Oryzias latipes: one gene and its partner. The protein of the gene in region 1 purifies or fractionates together with the protein of each later gene. This does not show direct contact. Links are inferred from orthologs where the notes say so. Each region holds a gene or a part of one and is shown on either strand. Other genes may lie near its edges. The genes, in order: beta-2 adrenergic receptor and usp33.

What was found.
Region 2: the proteins of beta-2 adrenergic receptor (region 1) and usp33 purify together in Homo sapiens (affinity purification with western blotting; 3 studies listed by BioGRID and IntAct, with this or other methods). This does not show direct contact. The link is inferred for Oryzias latipes from reciprocal best matches to the Homo sapiens genes ADRB2 and USP33.

Annotation. Positions count from the first base shown.
Region 1 is NC_019868.2:20,753,581-20,757,871, reverse strand, and holds the start of beta-2 adrenergic receptor, read right to left. Parts: upstream 3,086-4,291; 5' UTR 2,913-3,085; intron 2,654-2,912; coding exon 1,406-2,653; 3' UTR 1-1,405. UniProt on the Homo sapiens protein: Beta-adrenergic receptors mediate the catecholamine-induced activation of adenylate cyclase through the action of G proteins. The beta-2-adrenergic receptor binds epinephrine with an approximately 30-fold greater affinity than it does norepinephrine.
Region 2 is NC_019875.2:4,222,033-4,225,850, forward strand, and holds part of usp33 (ubiquitin carboxyl-terminal hydrolase 33), read right to left. Parts: intron 3,448-3,818; coding exon 3,307-3,447; intron 3,102-3,306; coding exon 2,986-3,101; intron 2,755-2,985; coding exon 2,582-2,754; intron 2,487-2,581; coding exon 2,416-2,486; intron 2,329-2,415; coding exon 2,295-2,328; intron 2,182-2,294; coding exon 2,136-2,181; intron 2,050-2,135; coding exon 1,869-2,049; intron 1,728-1,868; coding exon 1,601-1,727; intron 1,492-1,600; coding exon 1,322-1,491; intron 1-1,321. UniProt on the Homo sapiens protein: Deubiquitinating enzyme involved in various processes such as centrosome duplication, cellular migration and beta-2 adrenergic receptor/ADRB2 recycling.

The DNA of each region.
Region 1 (4,291 bases):
CATTTAAATAAGACTGACCAAAACTGACTGAAACGACTGAAGCCGAGGCACGTTTTTGCAGGCTCCCGTGTCTCTTGTCCAAATGGCACAATGATTACACACACAAGAAAAGAGATAGCCAGATAAAAACAATGAGTGTACTGAATACAAGCTTTGGATTTTTTCTTTTTTCTGTCTGGTTGCTGACTTCACCGTTATGGCTTGGTGCTAGAACTTTGTCATTTGGCTGCATTCACACCCTGTTTATGATTACGTGTTGTCTGTACCCTTGCACTATGAGGAAACAGCTTCTCTGGTTGCGGTAAACTGTGCACATACTGAAACATGGCAACTGCAAAATCTGATAAACAAACAAGGCTCATGCAGCTATGGGTCAACTATGGTTCAAATTTGTCGCACAGAAGAAAAAGAATCGTCGTTCTCACTGTTATTTGTAACAAAAAAGTGGTTTTAGATTTGCAACAAGTGGAAAATAGACATAGTTCAGGTATATGTAACAAGCCAAAAGAAATGTTTGAATTTATGAAAACGGTGAGCATTTCAGCCCAAGTTTTATATTATTGCACTTAGCGTTCCTCCCAAAAATTATAGGTATTTTACGGTTCGTTATCTGATAAAACAAGCTTTGATGTTTTATGATGGCATTAACCCAACAGCTACAGGCGTTCCTTAGGCTCAGCATTAGGATCTAGATTAGCCAGCCATATCTCTTGTGCTTTCTGCTGACAACATAAACTCCTTTAAACACAGTCTTGCACAGTAGAGCAGGACTGAGACGTGTTTTGCCTCACGCGTAGCCAATATAGCTCCCTGAAAAAAAGATTACAACTTAATAGATTCCTCAAGTGTTGTCGGAATGTAATTTTTGATGCAAAGACCAAGACTGGTTCAAAAATCCATTCTTTGCATTGGAAGAAAAATCGCATGGAAAATCTCAAATACAGTTTTATACCATACAAAAAACTGTGGCTTCCCTCCTCAAGAAAGAGCAAAAAATAAATAAAGCATGCCCTAAGGTTTTGGATGAAGCCTTATAATCTGCAAATGTACTATTCACACGCCATTTATTAGGCTCAACACACAGCTGAGACATCGCTCTCGTTTAACTCCAAAGGTAAGAATGTAAGCCGGTAAAGAAACTAACACTGTAAAGCCGTTAGGGAGGTAGATGTAGTCATCATGTAATAAAAAAAATACATTACAATATGTAGTCACTATGTTTAACTTAAAAAAAATGTTCCTCAGCTTGATGTGATCGTTGCAGGTTCTCTGAAACACTTTTGAAACACTGCCAGCCACTTTGACTGGCCTTACCTTAATCAGCGATTGAGAGAAAAGCCCTAAATGTTCATAAGTGTATAGGCTTTCATCTTTCTCTGTTGACTGAAGGGTCGGTGGTCCGTGCTTAAAGGGCAGTTGTGACAGTCGTTATACCTTTGTTGCAGTTTCCATTGGGGTCTATGGCTCTGTCCACACCACTGCCCACCCCTGCACCTTTTATCAGACAAGCCTCATTGGCATCACTGTCCTCCGAGTTGCACTTGCTCCTCCCTTGCTGCTCACTCTGCCAGCTGTGCCTGCTGTAGATGTATCCATTTGTTTGGCCTTGGTGGCTCAGATGGTTCCTCCTGATGCACAGGAGTTCCTTGAAAGCGTACCTGAACTCAGGACTCCGGCAGTAAATGACAGGGTTGAACATAGAGTTTGAATAGCCTATCCAGTTCAGAATCATAAATACGCTATAGTTGTTCACGTTCCATATGGACGCGATTACATTAAGGATGAAGAATGGTAGCCAGCAAAGAGTAAAGGTCCCCATTATGATACCCAAAGTTTTCAGGGCTTTGTGTTCACGCAAGTAAAACTTTGCCTTCTTTTGTCCACGGCCATTCTTGTCCTCCGAAGAATCTACATGAAAGCGTCCAACGCTTTGGTTAATCTTTTTTAGCTGCCTTTTGGCCGCCAGGAAAACACGGCTGTAGACAAAAACCATGATGATCAAAGGGATGTAGAAGGAGATGATGGAGGAGGTGATTCCATATTGTATGTTTGTGTGAAACTGGCAGCAGTCTGTTTTATTAAGACATTTCTCAGCTTCCGATGTATTGGATCTCCACACGTTCATATGAATGGGCGGGTAGGATGTCAAAGCAGCAATCACCCATATAAAGATGACCACAATTCGAGCTCTGCACTTTGTCAATAGTGACTGGTAGCGGAAGGGTGCAGTAATGGCCACGTAACGGTCAATAGCGATGACACAAAGGGTCCCGATGCTTGCAGTCACGCAGAGGACATCTGTGGCAGTCCAGAAGTCGCACCAGAATTTACCAAAGTGCCATTTAACGAAGATGATGTTTAAAGCACCAAAGGGAACCACAATGAGACCCATGACCAGGTCTGCACACGCCAGAGATGTGACGAAGCAGTTGGTGACAGTTTGGAGACGCTGAAAGCGAGCGATTGCTGTTATGACCAGGATGTTTCCAAAGACAATGCACAGCACCAGAAAAGACATTCCGATGCCCATCAGGATCATAGCCGTCTCACTGTGGCCTGTCTCGTTGAGGCCCATCTCGTTGTGGCCCGTCTCGTTGTTGGACAATGACGTAGTGCTCACATTCGAGTAGACTGGAGAGACTGTAACTCCCATCTGAAGAAATCACATGCAGAAAATCATCAGACACAGTAAAAAGAGGGGAAGTGCACAATTCAAACATGTATCTAACTTATGGGAACTAAATAAATGCAGCAATAATAAAGTTTAAAACATGAATGTTTGTATCTGAAACAAAAAAACAAGCAAAGCAACAAAAGATTAAAAAAAACACAGCAGAGGCACCAGCCATAACGACCTTTTTGGCTCCATGCTTTAAAAACAAGTTGAGTCAAGAAAGAGCAAAAATACCAACCTCGACAGGTCGTTGTTTTGCTCCCAGCCTCCCATAAAAATGTCAGAATGTCAGTGTTGAAATACTTCCTGTAAGACTGGCAAGGCTCACATGCCCCTGTACTTTTTGTTCGGGTTGAGCTCCAGTTGTCTCTCTACCAAGTCGTTCCGTTGAGCAGTGTTTCCTCTGATGTGTCTCAGAGTCCTTATAGCATGCAATGGTGACATCACAGTCAGAGCTCAGCCAATCAGCGCACTAGCCTGTGGAGGGTGCTGAGCGCTCACAGGAGTTTGAACACACTGTCCCAACAGCTGCTGCTGCAGGGCTGCATGAGACATACGGCAGCCAACACAGGCAAACATTTACATATTTAAAAAACCTGCAAATTTGTACTGAAATCTACGAGCTGTATTTCAGCTCGAGTCATAAAGTCTACTTCCTGTTATGCTATGTTCCTGTATGAGTTTACAGCTTCATGCTTGTGAATCTGTATCCAATTAAAACTAGTTAAAGCATTTTTTGAGCATTTGTAAGATCAGGCTGGATTCACAAGTGATCCAACTGGCAAGTGTAGCTCAGTGAATTTTGTCAAGATCTATTGAGTGGTTGGATTGGAGCTTTAACACACTTCTTGTCCTGACAAAACCTTTGAGTTTTGTAGGCTGCTCTTTTATATAAAAATCAGGACCTTCGCCAATACAAGAACATATGCTTACATTTTAACATCCAAAGGTCAAACTGTAAAAATGACCTCAGTGTTTTGGTACGTAAAAGGCGCAGTGATCTTCACAGCAAGAGCTAAAAGAAAGCCTTTGAGGATCAAGAACAAATTTGCACTTTTATGACCACATTTATTCCATACATGTGATCTATGCAAACTAAACCTCATTTATTCAAATTTCAACAATGCAATGATAGTTCTGCTTGGTTTGTGAATGCGTAAAAACACTTCACGGAAAGTCTTCAATGCTTATTGAATTCTTTTAAGTTAATATATCTCTTTTTAAAAATGATTCTGTAATAAAATGATCCAATACCCTCAATCCTAACCCTTTAACCTAATCTTTTGTGACACTTTTGTACTTCAGCCTTTTTTTAAAGTATTTTTTCTCGAAGGTGTATTAAATGTGCAAGTATCAATAAACGTGCACATTTTATTTATCCTTTTAGGTTACAGGTCTTAAAAGGTTTACAAACTACAGAAAAAGAAAACAACAAAGATTTTTGCAAATGTTTGAGACTGTTGTAATGTGTTTTTTACCGCTGATTTTTTGCTTAAAGATCACAAAGATTTTTGCTCAATTGCGCAAAATCTTGAATTGCATAATTTTCTTCTACGCACATTAGATAGATTAGAGCGTACGTGGTTTGGAAAAAATCCAAAGACAGTTCCACTCCTG
Region 2 (3,818 bases), on another chromosome or scaffold:
CTTATCATATATGCACTCAATGAAGATGCATCTTTTCAAATATTTTGGATGTTGTTTGTTTTCATGTGCGAAACACAGACATGCTGCCAAGGCCGGCTCTAGGTTGACGTCATGAAATAGGCGGTACCCACAAAGAGCGCAAGGCGGAGCCTCAAAGATCGAGTCGTCTTTCTTCCGTGTAGGAAAATGAGCTGCAAAAGTAACTTGTATTTTTAAAAAATTGTTCTTTAGTGTGCCAAAGGTAATATACCATCAGATATATGGAAATAGTTTACTCAGAAAGGCTCAAGAATAGCACAACACAGGCCCTTAAAATATATAGAATTTAGCAGAACACTCATTTTAAACGTAAACAGAGTGATGTAGGGATGCAACCTTCCCCATGATTCGGTTCAAACACAGGGTTTGGTTTTAAACCAAGAACTGTGCCCTCCTAGTAAATACCCTTCAAGTGAGACATGCAAATGTAATAACACATTTAGTTTCCCTCTACACAACCATATGCTACCATTCATATTTATGTTTGAATCTATATGTATGACTGCACTGAGCATCCTTTGTCCTACAGCAAAGCCTCAGCAGAACCGTTCTCTGTTCCCGTTTTTCATCAGAGCTCAGTCATTTTCAGTTCTGTGACTCTTTTCCTTTTTATCCGGAAACAGAGCTCCCTGTTTGAAACCCTTTGTGGCGTCTGTCCCTGGTCTGGACCAAAAAGGCATTAGCTGCATAAAGAATCTCCGCCTGAATGTGGTGGAGAGGTTTGCCGAGGCATCAGACAAAAGAGAGAGAGATTTAGCAAACCTGCTGATCACGAGAACAGTGGGAAGAATGGCGTCTCACATCAAAAGTTGAACTAGTCGTTTGTCACTAATATCATTTAAAAAATAACACTTGTTATTTCACTGAGTGAGGTGACTGGATGAAGTGTGTTGGGTAAACTTGGAGGAGGCTCACTTCACTTACTGGGATTGTAAACTAAGAGGTGCTTTGGCATTAAGCTTTTGCCATGGGCCATATGGTCCCTGGAAAGCCAGAGTGAGAACATTAAGAAAGTCTAGTTCCCGTGGAGTCACAGGGCTGCTCTTTGCCTTCAGTTCTGTCTGTAACCTTTGTGAAAGAAGTTGCACAGTGGACTCGGGCAGTTTCTAACCAGATGTCAAATGTAAATATAAGTCACAAGTGTTAAAAAGGAACCTCTGCTAAAGCTATGAGAACGTTACAGAAGATTTGTCAAAAACCAAAAATCCTCAGCAGGATGAAAGCAGTGGCTGCATTTTGCCAAAATGCAAAGAAGACAATTGGAAGGAAAGTTCCGACACACCTCCATGCACACACAAGAAGTCATCATTGGAAATGGGCCCTGGCTCAGCAAAGGTCTTGAACTTGTTCAGCCACTGGCGAGAGATGTAAAACTGCAGAAGGCTGGGCTCCATCATGTTGAATAAGTTTGACACCCTCCCACGTTCCTTCACGGTGTCCCCGTTGCTCTTTCTGTCACAGAAACAGTTCATATATTAATCCGCTGTAAGAAGCTCGGGGAATTTCAATGTCTCAGACATAACCGAGAGCCTGAATTATTCATTCTGGGGGGTCAGCTTACTTATAGAAGAGCACATAGGCTTCAGCGTTCTGGACACAGGACTCAGACACCTCGGTCACGCTTTGGTCGTCAAACTCGTACCACAGATTGTTGGAGTCATTCCTGCAGTACGCTATGTAGTGGCCACCTGGGATCAGACAGGGAGAAGAGTAAGAGCAGCGTCCGCAAACCCATCCCTGTAAAAGAATGTCATCAGGGCGCATTTGTGCCAACGGATGGCAAATGCCCCGCTCTCCGCCAAGAAAGGGGAGTGACGGCGCCCACTCACTGCTGGCAGTGCCGTGGTGACAGATGACGGACAGCAGGTCATAGTTGGTGGTCTGGGCGGAGCTGTCTTTGGACAGAAAGGGCTGCAGGTCCAGCCCCTCAAGTGGGAAGGACACATGGGTGCTTATCTTGGTGGAGAACATCAGCTCATGTCTGAACCGCTTCAGATGAATACACAGGATCTGCAGCAGAGCAAAAAAAAACAACGTAGATTTAAAAAAACTGCGGGCCATAAAAAAACTGCTTCAACATCCAAAATGATTCGCACCTCTGGCAACTTTTGCATTTTACAGAATTTGACTCCGTTTCGTAACCTGAAGAGGAGAAAACGAAGAGAAAAATCACTTCAATCCATCCTTTGCTGTTTTTCATTAGAAGCAAATTCTTGTTCAGCGAGGTGTAAATATGAAGCTTTGCATTTACTAACTTTTTGCATTTTTCGCAGCTGTACATATTGTCTCCTGGAAAACAAAAAGATGCAGTTATTGATAAATCAATCCAGAGATTTGAGTTGGACAAAACCGACATTTGTTCCAGCACTTCATTACCTTTTAATTCGTCTCTGGCAAAGAATGCAGCCAGACAGTCTTGTAGTGTAACCACTGGACCCCAGAACCAGCTGGAGAAAAAGCACAGAGGAGTTATTTACCCCAACAGCAGCAACGACATGCTGTAGATGGAACAGGGTTGTGTTCCTCTATCATACATGCGTACCTTTTGATGTACTCCATGACAAATGCTATCCACCCCTGAGCTGCATACGCCTCCCCACAGGAGCCAGCTTTTACCAGCGAGGTCTGGTGGGTGGATGAGTGCAGCTTGGCCAGATCTTCCTTTCCCGGAATGGGCAATGAGATATCCTGGAAATTCTCCAGGGTCACAGACACCTGACAAACACAAACCGCACAGCCAGCAAGGCGTTAGGAATCCTCACCTTTAAGATGTTTCCACACGGCAATGTTTTACCTACAGGTTAGTCTTTCAATTGGAGCAAAACCTCACAAGTATGATTGAGCAGTCTTTGAAAACAACTACAGAACCCTACTGTCGGACCCTTTCCCATTAAACAGGACTGAGACTTGAGTTCAGCAGGACTGTAGAGATGTAACAACACTAACCCGATCACAGGTGAGGCACTGAACCGAGCTCACGATGGTCCCATCGAAGACGTCTGAAATGATACTTCTGTACTTCTTCTGCCGCTTGCTCTTCGTTGGGGAGAATGTGGTGACAGCTGGACGAGGACAGAGGCAGAAATGTGAGAACATGTATAGATTAGCACGCAAGTCGACAAAAAGACAGAACACGAGGTTACATTTACCCGTCCTTAAGTTTCCAGCATTTAATGCAGATTTGACTGATTGCAGGGTTCAGGTTCACCTCTGAGCCTCTGCCACACACACACACACACACACACATAAACACACTGGGATTTGTACCTTTCTTGTGAGAAGGGTTCAGGCTCGGCCAGCCACAGGCAGCTTTGGGCGGGCTGCTGGACAGTTTGGGAATGTGTCCCTCCATCGAGACTGGACTTTGTGGTCTTGTTGAGTTGGACATCTGGATATCTGGAAAACATTCTGGCGAGAGGAGAGGCGGGTTTTAATTCATTTTCTTTTGGAGATCTAAAGCTCCAGAAGCCGCTCAGGAATGTCAGGTTATCGGTGAACATACTGCACTGTTGTGAGGATGTCTGTGGGATGACTGTGGTTTGTCTGCACTACGGAGGCAGCCTAACAACCATACATAACCTCAATGCTAAACATGATTGTTCACAAATTAAAAATAATCCTTTCAATGATTTTACTTGACTTTATCATGAATGTCGTCATTCATGAAGTTCACTGCACATGCTTTATGAAGTAGAACTCTTTAATATATATTTAAAGCAGAGTACAATTTTTAATTGAATTAATAGGCATATAAGGGATCAGATTTCAGCACATTAGCT